Drosophila melanogaster: one gene and its partners. The gene in region 3 interacts genetically with the main gene of each other region. Each region holds a gene or a part of one and is shown on either strand. Other genes may lie near its edges. The genes, in order: bi, Atf-2 and p38b.

Region 1 (4,668 bases), on a different chromosome or scaffold from region 3:
AAGTGGAAACTGAGAAATAAGGGACACGAGAAGGCACGGAGACGGAAAAGGACATTTTTGCCTGTGTGACAAAATCGCTGACTACGTGTGTGTGCGTGTTTTCCTTCTCGCCATGTAACGCTATCTCGCTTCTACACGCACACACATGAACACAAGCCCGAGACTCCGCCCACTAAGCGATCGCGATGAGATGAGAAAAAAACTCACCACAGTCCGGTAAAAAACGCTCAACTCACTCACTCAGTCATACACACACACACACACATTCACTCGCTCTCCCACTCTTTCTCACCGAGAATGCGCATTCCCTCTGGCACTTGCCTTCTCGTTCTTGCGCACATGAAACTGTGTAAAATGGTCGCCTTGCAGGGGGCGTTGCTTTATGGCCGTCTTTTTCGCACCCATGCGAAAGTGCCGCAGTGTGAGCGAGAGGGAATGCGTTTGTGGATGGAGGTTTTGAAAGCAAGAGTAGAGAAGATGCGACGTTGTAAACGAATTTGCATATTTCTACTGCTTTACGCTTATTGCATATTTTATTCATTACGTTCTGGCGCTTCGGCGGATGAAAACCCAAGAAAAGGCGAAAAGCGAAGGAAAGTGTCATATGGCATTCCGACTACCGTTAGCTCTGCGTGACATCGGTCCTCCCTTTCGCACGCACAATCTTCATCCTTCTTTTTGCTTCTTGTTGAGCTTCTTCCTTTTTTAAGCTTTATAATTTATAAATTCGTTAATATATAAAAAAAAAGTTGCTTAAAATTCTAAATTCTCAGTTCAAGATATAAAAAATTCAACAATTATTCCTACGAAAATCCTTTTAAATAATTTCTTATAAGCTGTTAGCTCAATCTGAATACAGTCCCAACTATCTCTGGTTTTGTATATTTTTTCTGTAACTTAGAATTAATATTTAGTGTTTTTTTTAAAGCTGAGCTTTTTGTTTTTACTTTCATTTGATTACCAAGTATTTCCAACCCAAATATATACATATATATATGGTATATATATTACTTAACTAATAGCTACAATCATATTTACGTCTTAAAAGGATTCTTAGCTGTTTTAATATCTTAAAGCTGTTTCCAGATTTCATATACTTAAGGTCATAACAATGCCAACATCCTAGTTTGTTTTTTATTTGGCTCCTTTTACCCGAAATTGGTTCCACGTATTTCTGCAAATTTGTTTATTTTCGCTTGGCAGCGACTTAATCTGTGCTCCAGTTTTTCGTAGTATCCCCCCCCAAAAAAAATGGACACCATACACACACACATTTAACGGTTAAGCCGTTGTCCTTTTTTCCCAAGAAGTCAAAGGATGCGATTCGAATGTGCGTGAGTTATCCGGCGTGTTGTTATCCTGGCTCGGACCAAATAGGATACAAAAAAAACCTAGCATAAACCGGTTCTGAGTAAGTGCTCAATTACTCACACACACACACACACACATGCAAAGAAGTGCTCACTCAAAACGAAGCGAAACGAGGCGAATTCGTGCCTCTGCCTCTGCCGACGTCGACTGTGCTGCCGTGGTGGGTTTTGTGAAGCAAAGCGTCGAGCAGAGTGGCGAATAGCGTCATTCAAAATTGGAATTCTGTTAGTAAACGTCGACACTTCATATGAAACGAAGAGCGGAGATCACAGCGGAAAATCCAGGGGTGTACGTGGGTTTAAAACGCACAGAGGGATTTCACTCAAAGAAAGAAAGAATACGTTTATACTTATATAGGGTTAGACCAGGAGGGTAGGCTACGTATAAAGACAAGAAGAAGGAAAGCAAAGAAAGAATGGCCTCGCCAAGTAAAGCTGAGAGCATAGAGTGTAGGGATTACACAGAAGGGCTTTAAAAAGAAAATATGTAACCCACAAAATAGCAACTACAAGACTACCCACGACTTGGGTGTCAAAATGCTTGTCATTCGACAGCACGGCGAGGGGGAAAACCTATGCTAAGCTGGCCTTAGCTTTTTTGCCCGCGTGTGGTGAACATAACACGGGCCAACCCACCTCCCCCCACGCGATGGGGATTCCCCACTTTCGCATTCTGCCGGCGTCGCTGCGAACGTCGCTGCCGGCTTCTTGCACTTTGGCGCTCGGCGTCGTCTTGGCCCGGTTATTTGTTGTTTTTTTTTTTTTTTTCGTTTTTCGGGCTTTTCGGCTTTTTGGATCGTTCTCGGCCAGCAGTCGCCGCCTGTCACACGCTCACGTCAAACGCTTTTGCCGTCGCGTCGTCAGATAAACCAAATGTCTCGCCGTGTTTACGTGTGATTCCCCTTTTTTGCTTCAATCCGAAGGCAAAATAAATACACTGACCTTAACCGATACGGCTCACCGTTTAACCGCTAACCGTTAACCGTTTCGTGGCCGTCGACGATAAGGAATCAAGAAACAACATCACCCTGCAGATTCTGTTTTGTTTTGTTTTTTTGTGCAGTCCAGAATTTTTTGAAAACCTGACAAGATTAAAGAAAATTGTGTTTGAAAAGTGCGTAAAGTGTGGAGTATTTAAACTTAAAAAAAAAAACATATATAAAAATCAAACAACAGCAAGGTGGGAGGTCCAAAGAATATAAATAAAAAACACACTGGTTTCCGCCTGAGATTTTCAAAATACCGTTTCAGATCATGAAAACATAATGGTATACAAATATATTATGTTTATGCTGCCCTTGGAAATAAATAGTATACTATCAAAAAAATCTACTCCTTGGTTTTTCCCTACTTGAGAAATGAGAAATTTACAAACATTAAATGTAGAACTACTGATAATTACTTTCAATATTTTGGTGATCCAATGAGTTAATAGGAAAGTCCTTAAACAAAGCGTGGTGGAACTCCTTCCCATTATGATAATCACATCGCATAACACCAGGGAGATTGTCTAGATTGATTGATCCAACCCCCAGGAGATTCCCCATCCCGATCTGCTCAAGCGCAACGAAATCGGAACCATTATCCAATTAGCTAACTCTTTCCGAACCCGTATCATCAGTTTATCGCCTCGTCAATTGTTTTCTCATACTTTTTTCGCTACTTAACTGATGTGACAATTTGTAGCCATTAGCCGGAGGCAGTCAGTCAAACAGTCGCTAGATTTGCAAGTTGTTCAGGCATGACAAAACAAAAAAGAAAAAAAAAAAAAAACTATATATATGCAATGTATGGCGATGGATAAGGGGGGGGGGGAGAGTTGGGGAGCGGGGTTCCGGAGACGAGATCACGATCGCATCTCGACACGCAGCTAAAAGTGTAAATCAGCTCGCCTTCCATTATGTCAACAATCTCTTTGTCTGTCCGTATTATTTACATTTGTCAAATCAAATTTGACAGCTGCGGAAAACATAATATCTCAAGTCGGCGTCTGCGGCACAGTCCGGTTTTTTGTATGGGGCCTTATTCAATAGGGAGGGGATCAAGGGGATTCGCGGAGGAGATCGTAGCCGCCTAGGACCACCGATACAAACTTGTATTCAGAACTGGATTTGTCGCTTCGCTCTGTTGTGCCAAACGAACTGAGCCATGAACACAAGAATGAATACTTGGCCAAGCACTCGATCAATCTGGTCTCACACAAAGTTCTTTCACTTGAAGATGTACAAAAATAATTAGACATTTTTCTATTTATCTATTGTTATACGGAAAAGGATTTAAAACGTGCAAACATTTTGACTACTTGTTCTAATTTCGAAATACTAAGCCTGAAAATCAAGGATATTTATAAATCTAATATTCCAAGCCACTGGCTATTATCATTCGCGTTTACAGAGCAATGTTTTGTAGGAAAGGATTTTCCCCAGCACCAAAATAATTTTCTCTTTCGAGTAGTTTATTGCACTGCTTATTAGCGATTAGTGACTTTTATGACTGTTTAGAAACGTAGTACTCAACCCTTTTCGAAAGTAGGTAACAACCCTTAACCATTTGTATTACATATTAGAGAATGTTTTCTTCTTGTTTCCGAGGGAACATGCATTTTCTTTTTGATCCTCATTTAGTAGGGATTACATTATTACACAGTTGGAAATATATATTGTCTTGATCGAATTACGGAATTAAGTGTTATATATACCTAAAATAGTTCCAAAATACCACAACACATAATACCTATATCTTTTGCTGACTTCACCAATTAATTGGTGAGGTTTCCAGTCGGGGTTGTTCGTTGGTAAGCTGCTAACGGACTTATGACATGGATATGGCTATGATTCGGGAATCACGATTCAGTATTCCGTATTCCGTATTCGGTGGGGTATGTACTGTGTACTCTGCTACTATAAAATGCCAGCTCCATTGTTGTTGCTACAACCGGCGGAAGAAAACGGAAGAGGGGATTGTATTTTTTGGATTTCGGGAATTGGGAATGGCCTGGATGCGGCACTTATCCTTGTTTTTTTTTTTTTTTTGGGGTTGAAGGCAACAAACACACTGCACACTTAACCGATAAATACGCACCACATCTATATTATATGTGTGTGTACATACTCGTATATGGATGCGTGTACGTTTGTACATCCGATGGACAGATCCTTTGTATCCTGCTATCCTGGCTCTATCTATTGACTGACTAACACGCCAGCTGACTTGGCAGGGGAGGAAGAAGCCAAGCGCTGGGGAAGTAGAACCTGGTCCTGCTGTCTCGTGCAAAGCTGACTGACATCCAGCAACTTCC
Region 2 (3,710 bases), on a different chromosome or scaffold from region 3:
GAACTCCGTTTTTGAATATTTATGAAAGGACAGTGTGATCCTCTGAGCTGGATACCAGCCGGATCCTGTAGGCCGCACATGCCGTTATGGCCAATTGCGGTCCTTGACTCCTTTGCAAATTTCCTAGGGCCAGAAACCTGATCATCAAGTTGGTAACCAACGCTAGGGTCATGCCAAACGTGTCTTTGCTAAAATGGAATGGTTAATCTGGTCAAGTCTTAAATACCAATGTATCACTATGAGGACTGCTATACCTTTATATTACATATTTTTCAAATAAAATTCAAGTTCTTATGGAACTTATTCAAACATTTGTTCTCAAGCTTTACTTTAGCCTGATCGCAAGCTATTCCAAGTTTGGAAAAAAATTTTGTGCACTCAGCCACTTGATCCTAACCACAGAGACCGACGGACAGTAAGAAAAATGGCGAGGTTGCAGTGCGATGATGGAAAGGATGTGGCGGTGGGGCAGGAAAAGGAGCTGATGGGTATGGATACTTTGAATGCGGGCAAGAGAGAGATGTTCATCGGAACGCATGTTCTTTGAAAATTGCCCATAATTATGCGAACGAACTTCAAACTGATTGTTTCTACCGGCAGCAGCGCAGTCCGAGAAACGAGAATCCAGAGCCGAGGATCGGAACCCATCTCCATCCCATAGCTCCATGGACCATGGACCACGCTGTCCGAAAAACGCGCGTCCGTTGCATGCAACGTGGCAGGGATGGGATGGAATGGGATGGGATGGGATCGAGATCGGGACATGGCCAAGGGTATGGCTGTGTGGAATAGCCCGCTTGGCTGCAGTGAAAGAGAATGACTGTAATTACGCATCACTTTTTCTTAATTTTCATGCTGTGCATCTTGCGGCCCTTCCTCCTCGCAAACGGAGCGGATTGGAGTGGTGGTGAACAACGAGGACGAGGGCCGGAAGGGGTCCTCCATCTTCTCGCTGGGAACAATTTAAGCACTGAACTTGACCCACAAGTCGAGTCTGCTGCTTTTTGTGCGGCAGAGTTTTAGAAAATTGCTCGTTTCGTTGCGTGCATATTTCCCAAAATGCGAGCGGCTTGAAATCATTTTGCGTGTTGTTTTGTCCGCTGTCTGTTTTCTGCTTGTTCCTCCAATGAGAAATCTAATTTAAAAGATACAAATTTTAAATTATGGGGTTTTCTTGGCTACCAAAAATGTTTCGATGTTTTTTCTTCGCTTTACCTTCCTCTTCTTCACATATGATTGCTTCTACGTGCCGAAGACTCGCATTTTGGCATTTTGGATGCGATGGCAGATACGCAATTTCGTTGCGGAAATGCCGAATGTCAAGAGTGGTTGCATAACAGCTTCAAACACAGAAAGGCTAGGAATAATAAGGGTCTCATGACAGAGGGGTATTTTTTACACACAGTATTTATTGGTAACCAGATTCAAATTGAAAACATTCGCGCGCCTTTTTTGCACCCACTCGCGGTATCGATATATCGGTTTGCACACATCACTACTGTGCTAAGGTAAACAACATATAAAATATACATTATATCGAGGTTTGAAAATTCCTTTACTTATTTTGTTACACAATGAAGATTATTCAGTATTTATTTGATTTATTTTAAGTTCTACGTTATGATCTTTGTTCTACCAGTAATAAAATACATTTTACATCGTAATTACGGCAGAAGAACTTAGTACCTTTTCCAGCACTGCAGCCAGAGTTGGTTTCTTAATGGAGTCCGATAGGTTCAATAACACATCCATACATCGATAACAATTTTATTTTTTGTTTTGCTAATGTGATTTACAAAATAGTTGTTTTAATTGAGAATTGTCGGCAGATTATGGAGTTTGATTTGTAAATAGCATGATTTTGATGTAACTTCTGACATGGACACCGCCGGAGACATGGATCACCTGGCCAGTGTGTCCTTCGGCGACTTTGAGACAAAATCCCCAGAGGGCGACGTATCCTGCTATCAGAACTTTCGGGCACAGACGGAACATGTTTCGCTAGACATTTCTCTCGGGCAGAAGTCAGACACTCTATTTGCCGCCGACCAAACGCCCACGCCTACGCGACTCATCAAGAACTGCGACGAGGTGGGTCTCTTCGAGGACCTGCAGCACGTAAATCCATTTGACATTGGATTCCAGCAAGCAGCGGAGCGAAATGTCAGCGGCACTCCGAGTCGCCCAGAGGCTCGACCCAATGACGGTGAGTCCCTGCACACGCCCCAGGTGTATCCCGTCGAGGCCCCCACCGTGGTATCAGTTCCGTCTGAAAATCAGGTCCCACAAAGTGTCAGCTGCGGCGATATGGATGTGGACCAGCTTCTGGCCACGACAGTTACCTCGCCTTCCAAAGCCAGTCAAGATGGTCCGCCGCCGCTGCAGTTGATCCAGCCCCAGGTCCTAACATGGGTGCTGCCTGCGCAGTCAGTTCCCATTTCCATCGCTACAGTTGATTGTAACAGAAACAGGGTGAAGCCGACTGGTGCCATTCATCCCTTCATACTGCCGAAACCCACTGCGAAAGAATTAAACAAGACCAGTAAAAGACCCGAGCCTATTTTGGTCAGTTGCAACCCACCTAATAACGAGCCCAGTAGCGCCAGTCTGACGCCCACCTCACAGCTGCCCATCAAGGAGCGATTGAAGGCCATTATCCACAGCAATAATAACAGACGAAGTTTCTCCACACCGCCCAAGGCTGCGAAAGCAAAGGATCGCAGTCGGGACGAGGATTGTATGGAGCGACGAAGAGCAGCAGCCTCTCGTTACCGTAACAAGATGCGAAACGAGCATAAGGACCTCATCAAACAGAACGCCCAGCTGCAGCAGGAGAATCAAGAACTGCACGAAAGAATTTCCAGATTAGAAAAGGAACTGCAGCAGCACAGGAGTCACAGCAGCTTAGCTGGCGGTAAGCTTTAATAAACCATTCCTGAAGTTAAGTTAATTTATTTTCGTTTATAGTGGTGGCCGACCAGCTGCGGATTCCACCATCCAGTATACACTTGCTCATCAATGTGCCCAACGTGTTAGTGCCTTCGTCCGCCAGCAACGCAAGCGCGGCCAAGAAATAACCAATATGCCTTGTTTATTTATTTTCTAGTGCCATGTACATAATCCTAGCCTTGTAGTTTATTCGTACAAAAAAGCCTCAGTTAAGTTAAATTCCTTCTGTACTCCAATGTTTTGTCTGTGGTTATGATTTCCGTAAACTCTCTCTGTATCTCAAAAATGGAATTCTCGATATCCACCAGCTGGGGACTAAATTGCACAGATGATGTTGCTGGAGTTCGCAGCTGTTCCATGGTCATCTGTTCGGAAGAAAGTAGACTTAGGAGATCACAGAATACAATCTAAAATCTTTTATCACATACATCACGCAAGTTTTTCTGCAGCTGATCACGCTGATAGCAAAGTTTCTGGATTTTGTCGTAATACTTCTGTGCCAGTGGAGCACCCTCCGTATCCGAGTAGTAGCGCTGGGCAAGGAGCTCCATCTCCTGGTTACGAATTTCATCTTCGGCCAGCTGCATTTCTTGGTTGTGACGCCGACGCTCACGCTCAATACTGTGCATCAGCAGGTCCATGTCCTTCTCCATCTCCAGAATTTTGCGTCGCTGCTCAGACTCCTGTAACTTAGTGATGACCTCGCTCTTGCGCCGACGCACCTCCATTTGGTAGGTGAGCAGCATTTTCCGTTGGCAGGT
Region 3 (4,343 bases):
ATGGGATCATATAAATATCTTTAAGAAAATCATTGCAAGTGAATTTAGTAAAGATCTTTAATCCTTAATGCCTTAGCCACTGAAACTCTTTCCGATAAGAAACTATGAAGATCTCAAGAATTTCCATTAGATATATATGTAGTTATTTCTTCCGGTGTACGATATGCTGTCTGTTCCAAACGCTGTTGTGTCTCTGGCCGTCTGACTGTTGCTCAAACGGCTGCGACTTGGAAAGCAACGTGGGCAGCCCAGACACAGGCAGTCGTAATTGTTGAAAGTACGCTGGGTACACCAGTGCCAGCTCACATACATACATATGTACATAGGTGCTCATAGAGAGGGACCTGTATACATATATGTACGAACCATATACATATATATGACGCCTAATCGAAATGTGCTGCGAGTAGGAGCCGCATCGATCCGATCTCCAAGATCCAAACTCCAAGCTCTAAGCTTTTCCAAAACCGAAACCCAACTGATCCCCAGCGATTGGATCGAGTGGGGGCATATATGTACATATAGCGCCTAAATTGCGACGATCTCGGCTGATAAGATAGCAAAGGCCCTCTGGCTGGTGCGTAGAACAGCGAAAGGTAAAAACAAGGTTATTTCCAGAACGAATTGATAACCTCCAGAGGTCGCGAATACATCGAGAATAGGGGGCGAAACGGGTTTCGGTTTCGGAAGAGTCTAAGCGCCAATCATCCGCTAAAAATAACGCCAACAAAATTTTGGCAAAGTGCTGGTGGTGTCTTCTTAATTATGATTAATTGTTCGCCAGCTATTCATTTGTTGTTTATCATTGTTTCAAGACATTCTGCTCACCGTGCAAGTTGATGGTGCAGGTTGTATTGTTTCCGCGATCCAGAACAACTACACTCGTTGCGGCCATTGCGGCCGCTGTCGTGGCCATTTTGAATTTTCCTAACGGTAAAGGTATATCCGGGGGATCGTTTGAGATCCTGTGTATGTTTGTGTGCGTGCCTGCCTACTGAGGGAGTATATCTTTGAAAAATTGGGTACGAAAAGAAACTGTAGCTCCGTGGCACTTAAAGCAAGGCGATCTGGTTTCGTACTCAAAACGGGCGTCGATTGAACTTTAATTTGCGCATTTACATAATGTTTGCAAAAATTATTCTGCACACAAAGCACCGCACTCACACAGACGCGCCAGCACACACACACTCACTCGCACACACACATACACACGCACGCACAGAGCGCAGCTTGAGTTTTTGTCAATGAACAAATACGTATGGAAAAAACTCGTGCAAAAAACGTTCGGGCGAAAAGCGTCACGACCCGGACCTTCGATGTTCTGCCAACGAGCGACCGATTGAAACTAAACCAGCTTGCGCCAACTGACCGCCTTCTGTTACCGGCCCATGTTAAGCTTTAAAATTAGCTTTATGTCCATGGTCGACGAGGGAGTACTCTACCTTAAAATTATATTTTTAACGTATAACTAAGTATTTACTGAAGTGGATGATATTACCACATTATTCACGAGTTTATGGTTTCATATAAGTTCATTTTTTGCTTTAATTAATGCATTTTTAATTTAAATATTTCTTATTCTCAAAGGTGTGATAATAAAGAATACATACATAGAACTCTCCAAATAATATTGAAAGTATTTAAATTGTAATATAATCTTAAAAACTTTAATCAAAATTGCATATAAAAATCTAATTATTATTATTGTTTGTGACGATCATGTACTCTGTCAACCAAACTGCGCAGAAGCTTTGTGAATTGATCCGCTGCCTCGATGGACTCTGATTTTTGTAGGGGACACCCTAAAGCCAACCATGTTAACGCATAAACGAGCAGCAGCTGATTGGAAATCGGACCCATTTGCGGTTATCGATAGCCAAGACAGCGTTGTTGTCCAATCAGAAAAGGTGTAGGCGCAGCGGAATAGCATAAATAAAATCCGAGAGATGTAAGTTGCAACTTATTTGTGCAGATACAAATGAATCTGGGCAGGAATACCCGAAATTAGCTACGTTTTCCCGTAATACCCGGTACGATTACTCATTTCCAGCAATGTTGAGGCCGCGAAGTGTGGAACAGAGATAACTAATCCCACAAGCAAGAAGAAGAACTGCCCAAAAAAAGAGCCAGCGGATTAATAACATTATAGCACCGCACCTGAGCGTACAGAACATCCCAACGAAATGTCGCGCAAAATGGCCAAATTCTACAAGCTGGACATCAATCGCACCGAGTGGGAAATCCCGGAAACATACCAGAACCTGCAACCCGTGGGTCAGGGTGCCTACGGCCAGGTCTGCAAGGCCGTGGTCCGCGGAACCAGCACGAAGGTGGCCATCAAGAAGCTTGCCAGGCCCTTCCAGTCGGCGGTCCATGCGAAGCGCACCTATCGGGAACTGCGGCTGCTGAAGCACATGGATCACGAGAACGTTATTGGTCTGCTGGATGTCTTTCATCCAGGACAGCCCGCCGATTCGCTGGATCAGTTCCAGCAAGTGTACATGGTGACCCACTTGATGGACGCCGATCTGAACAACATAATACGCACGCAGAAACTGTCTGATGATCATGTCCAGTTTCTGGTCTACCAAATCCTGCGCGGTCTGAAGTACATCCACAGCGCTGGGGTCATCCATCGTGATCTAAAGCCATCGAACATTGCGGTAAACGAGGACTGTGAGCTTCGCATCCTGGATTTCGGTTTGGCCCGTCCCGCAGAAAGCGAGATGACCGGATACGTCGCAACGCGATGGTACCGGGCGCCTGAGATCATGCTCAACTGGATGCACTACAACCAGACGGCGGACATCTGGTCGGTGGGCTGCATCATGGCTGAGCTGCTGACTGGGCGCACGCTGTTCCCTGGAACCGATCACATCCATCAGCTGAACCTCATCATGGAAGTGCTGGGCACGCCAGCTGATGAGTTCATGAGCCGCATCTCCTCGGAGAGCGCTAGAAACTATATTCGTTCACTGCCGGTGATGCCGCGCCGCAATTTCCGCGACATCTTCCGCGGTGCCAATCCGCTGGCCATCGATTTGCTGGAGAAGATGCTGGAACTTGACGCCGACAAGCGCATAACCGCCGAGCAGGCGCTGGCCCATCCGTACATGGAGAAGTACCACGATCCAACCGATGAGCAGACCGCCGCGCTCTACGACCAGAGCTTCGAGGAGAACGAGCTGCCGGTGGAGAAGTGGCGGGAGATGGTCTTCAGCGAGGTGACGGCCTTCAAGCCCACAGCCGCCTTCGCTGAGCTCCTGCCCAAAGAGCAGTAATCCCGGCCGCCATCCCTCTCCGTTCAATGATGCTATATACAATTAGAACAGTCTTTTCTACACCTAGTTCAAGCGGATGCGCTCAGTCGTGATTTCTCTACTCGTCGAGTGTAAACAATCGGGGATATTTATTCTAGAGCGATTTATATTTAGAAACTCTTCAGTGGCTGGATTTCAACAATTTGTTTTGACCACAAACGTAAGGTGAAATAGTATTGTATTTTCGAACCTTCGATTTGCATTCGATGGATATAGAAATAGCGATTGAACTAGGTGCATGCCTGAAATGTAGCCATTCGGAAATGTTTCCAAAAATCAATCAGAGTCACAGCCTTAATGTCCAGTTCAACTTTAGATTTGGTGTCGGTTTTAACACGCAGTTCTTGTGAATAATCCTGTAAATGTGAGTGTACATGTACATCGTAGTTCGTAAGCGAACGCATCTAGCGGCCAGTAACTATAAAAAAGAGCACTAGTGTCTACGTTGAATCCAAATAAATGTGCTATGTATTTTAAAAAATGAGATCCTCTAGATATCGCTCGAATTCCTGCTCTCTGGAGGCTTGCTCTCGGCTTATATCGGGTTGTTGTTGCCAGATCTGTTCGTCTGCCGTGGTGGCATCCTTTGAGTCTGTGGGCTCCTTGCTGGCTTCTGGATGGGATTCGGATGCTGGTTCGACAGGCTCCTCCTCCTCTTCGCCAGAACTTTCGTGACCAACATCGAGTTTTCGACGCTTACGTTTCTTTTCAGCGCGCCGTTCCTCCTTTTCCCTGCGTCTCCGCTTCTTGCATTCTCTCTTCTTGGTGCGGTAGTTCAGCTGATCCGTGTGGGTGGGACACAGCCGCACCTATGGAATTCCCATTAGTGACACAATCGCGGAAACCCATTTGGAACCCACCTTGACCAGCGCATTTAGGGGCTCACCCTTTTCGATATACCTAAAGTTTACCTCCCAGCTGCGCAGATTATCCCGCTCCCCGCAATGCCGGCTGCCGCACTGGAACTGCCCGGTTCCGGTGACCACCTCCTGCTCCGTTCGCCAGCGCAGCGCTATCTTGTTC

Evidence for each region.
Region 1: of p38b (region 3) and bi, changing one enhances a phenotype caused by changing the other (phenotypic enhancement), as found in Drosophila melanogaster (one study listed by BioGRID).
Region 2: of p38b (region 3) and Atf-2, changing one enhances a phenotype caused by changing the other (phenotypic enhancement), as found in Drosophila melanogaster (one study listed by BioGRID).

The regions. Positions count from the first base shown.
Region 1 is NC_004354.4:4,411,262-4,415,929, forward strand, and holds the start of bi (bifid), read left to right. Parts: upstream 1-1,594; 5' UTR 1,595-1,659; intron 1,660-2,200; exon of another isoform or gene 2,201-2,638; intron 2,639-4,668. UniProt on the Drosophila melanogaster protein: Essential protein that may function as a transcription regulator. Vital for pupal development. Required for proper development of the optic lobes and wings, and abdominal pigmentation.
Region 2 is NT_033778.4:24,868,332-24,872,041, forward strand, and holds Atf-2 (activating transcription factor-2), read left to right. Parts: upstream 1-1,776; 5' UTR 1,777-1,878; coding exon 1,879-2,914; intron 2,915-2,967; coding exon 2,968-3,077; 3' UTR 3,078-3,158; downstream 3,159-3,710. Other genes in the region: CG16896 (uncharacterized protein), read right to left, coding at 3,159-3,314, 3,378-3,710.
Region 3 is NT_033779.5:13,778,817-13,783,159, forward strand, and holds p38b (p38b MAP kinase), read left to right. Parts: upstream 1-1,872; 5' UTR 1,873-1,948; intron 1,949-2,050; 5' UTR 2,051-2,183; coding exon 2,184-3,281; 3' UTR 3,282-3,793; downstream 3,794-4,343. Other genes in the region: CG9008 (uncharacterized protein), read right to left, coding at 829-916; CG16890 (uncharacterized protein), read right to left, coding at 3,794-4,129, 4,181-4,343.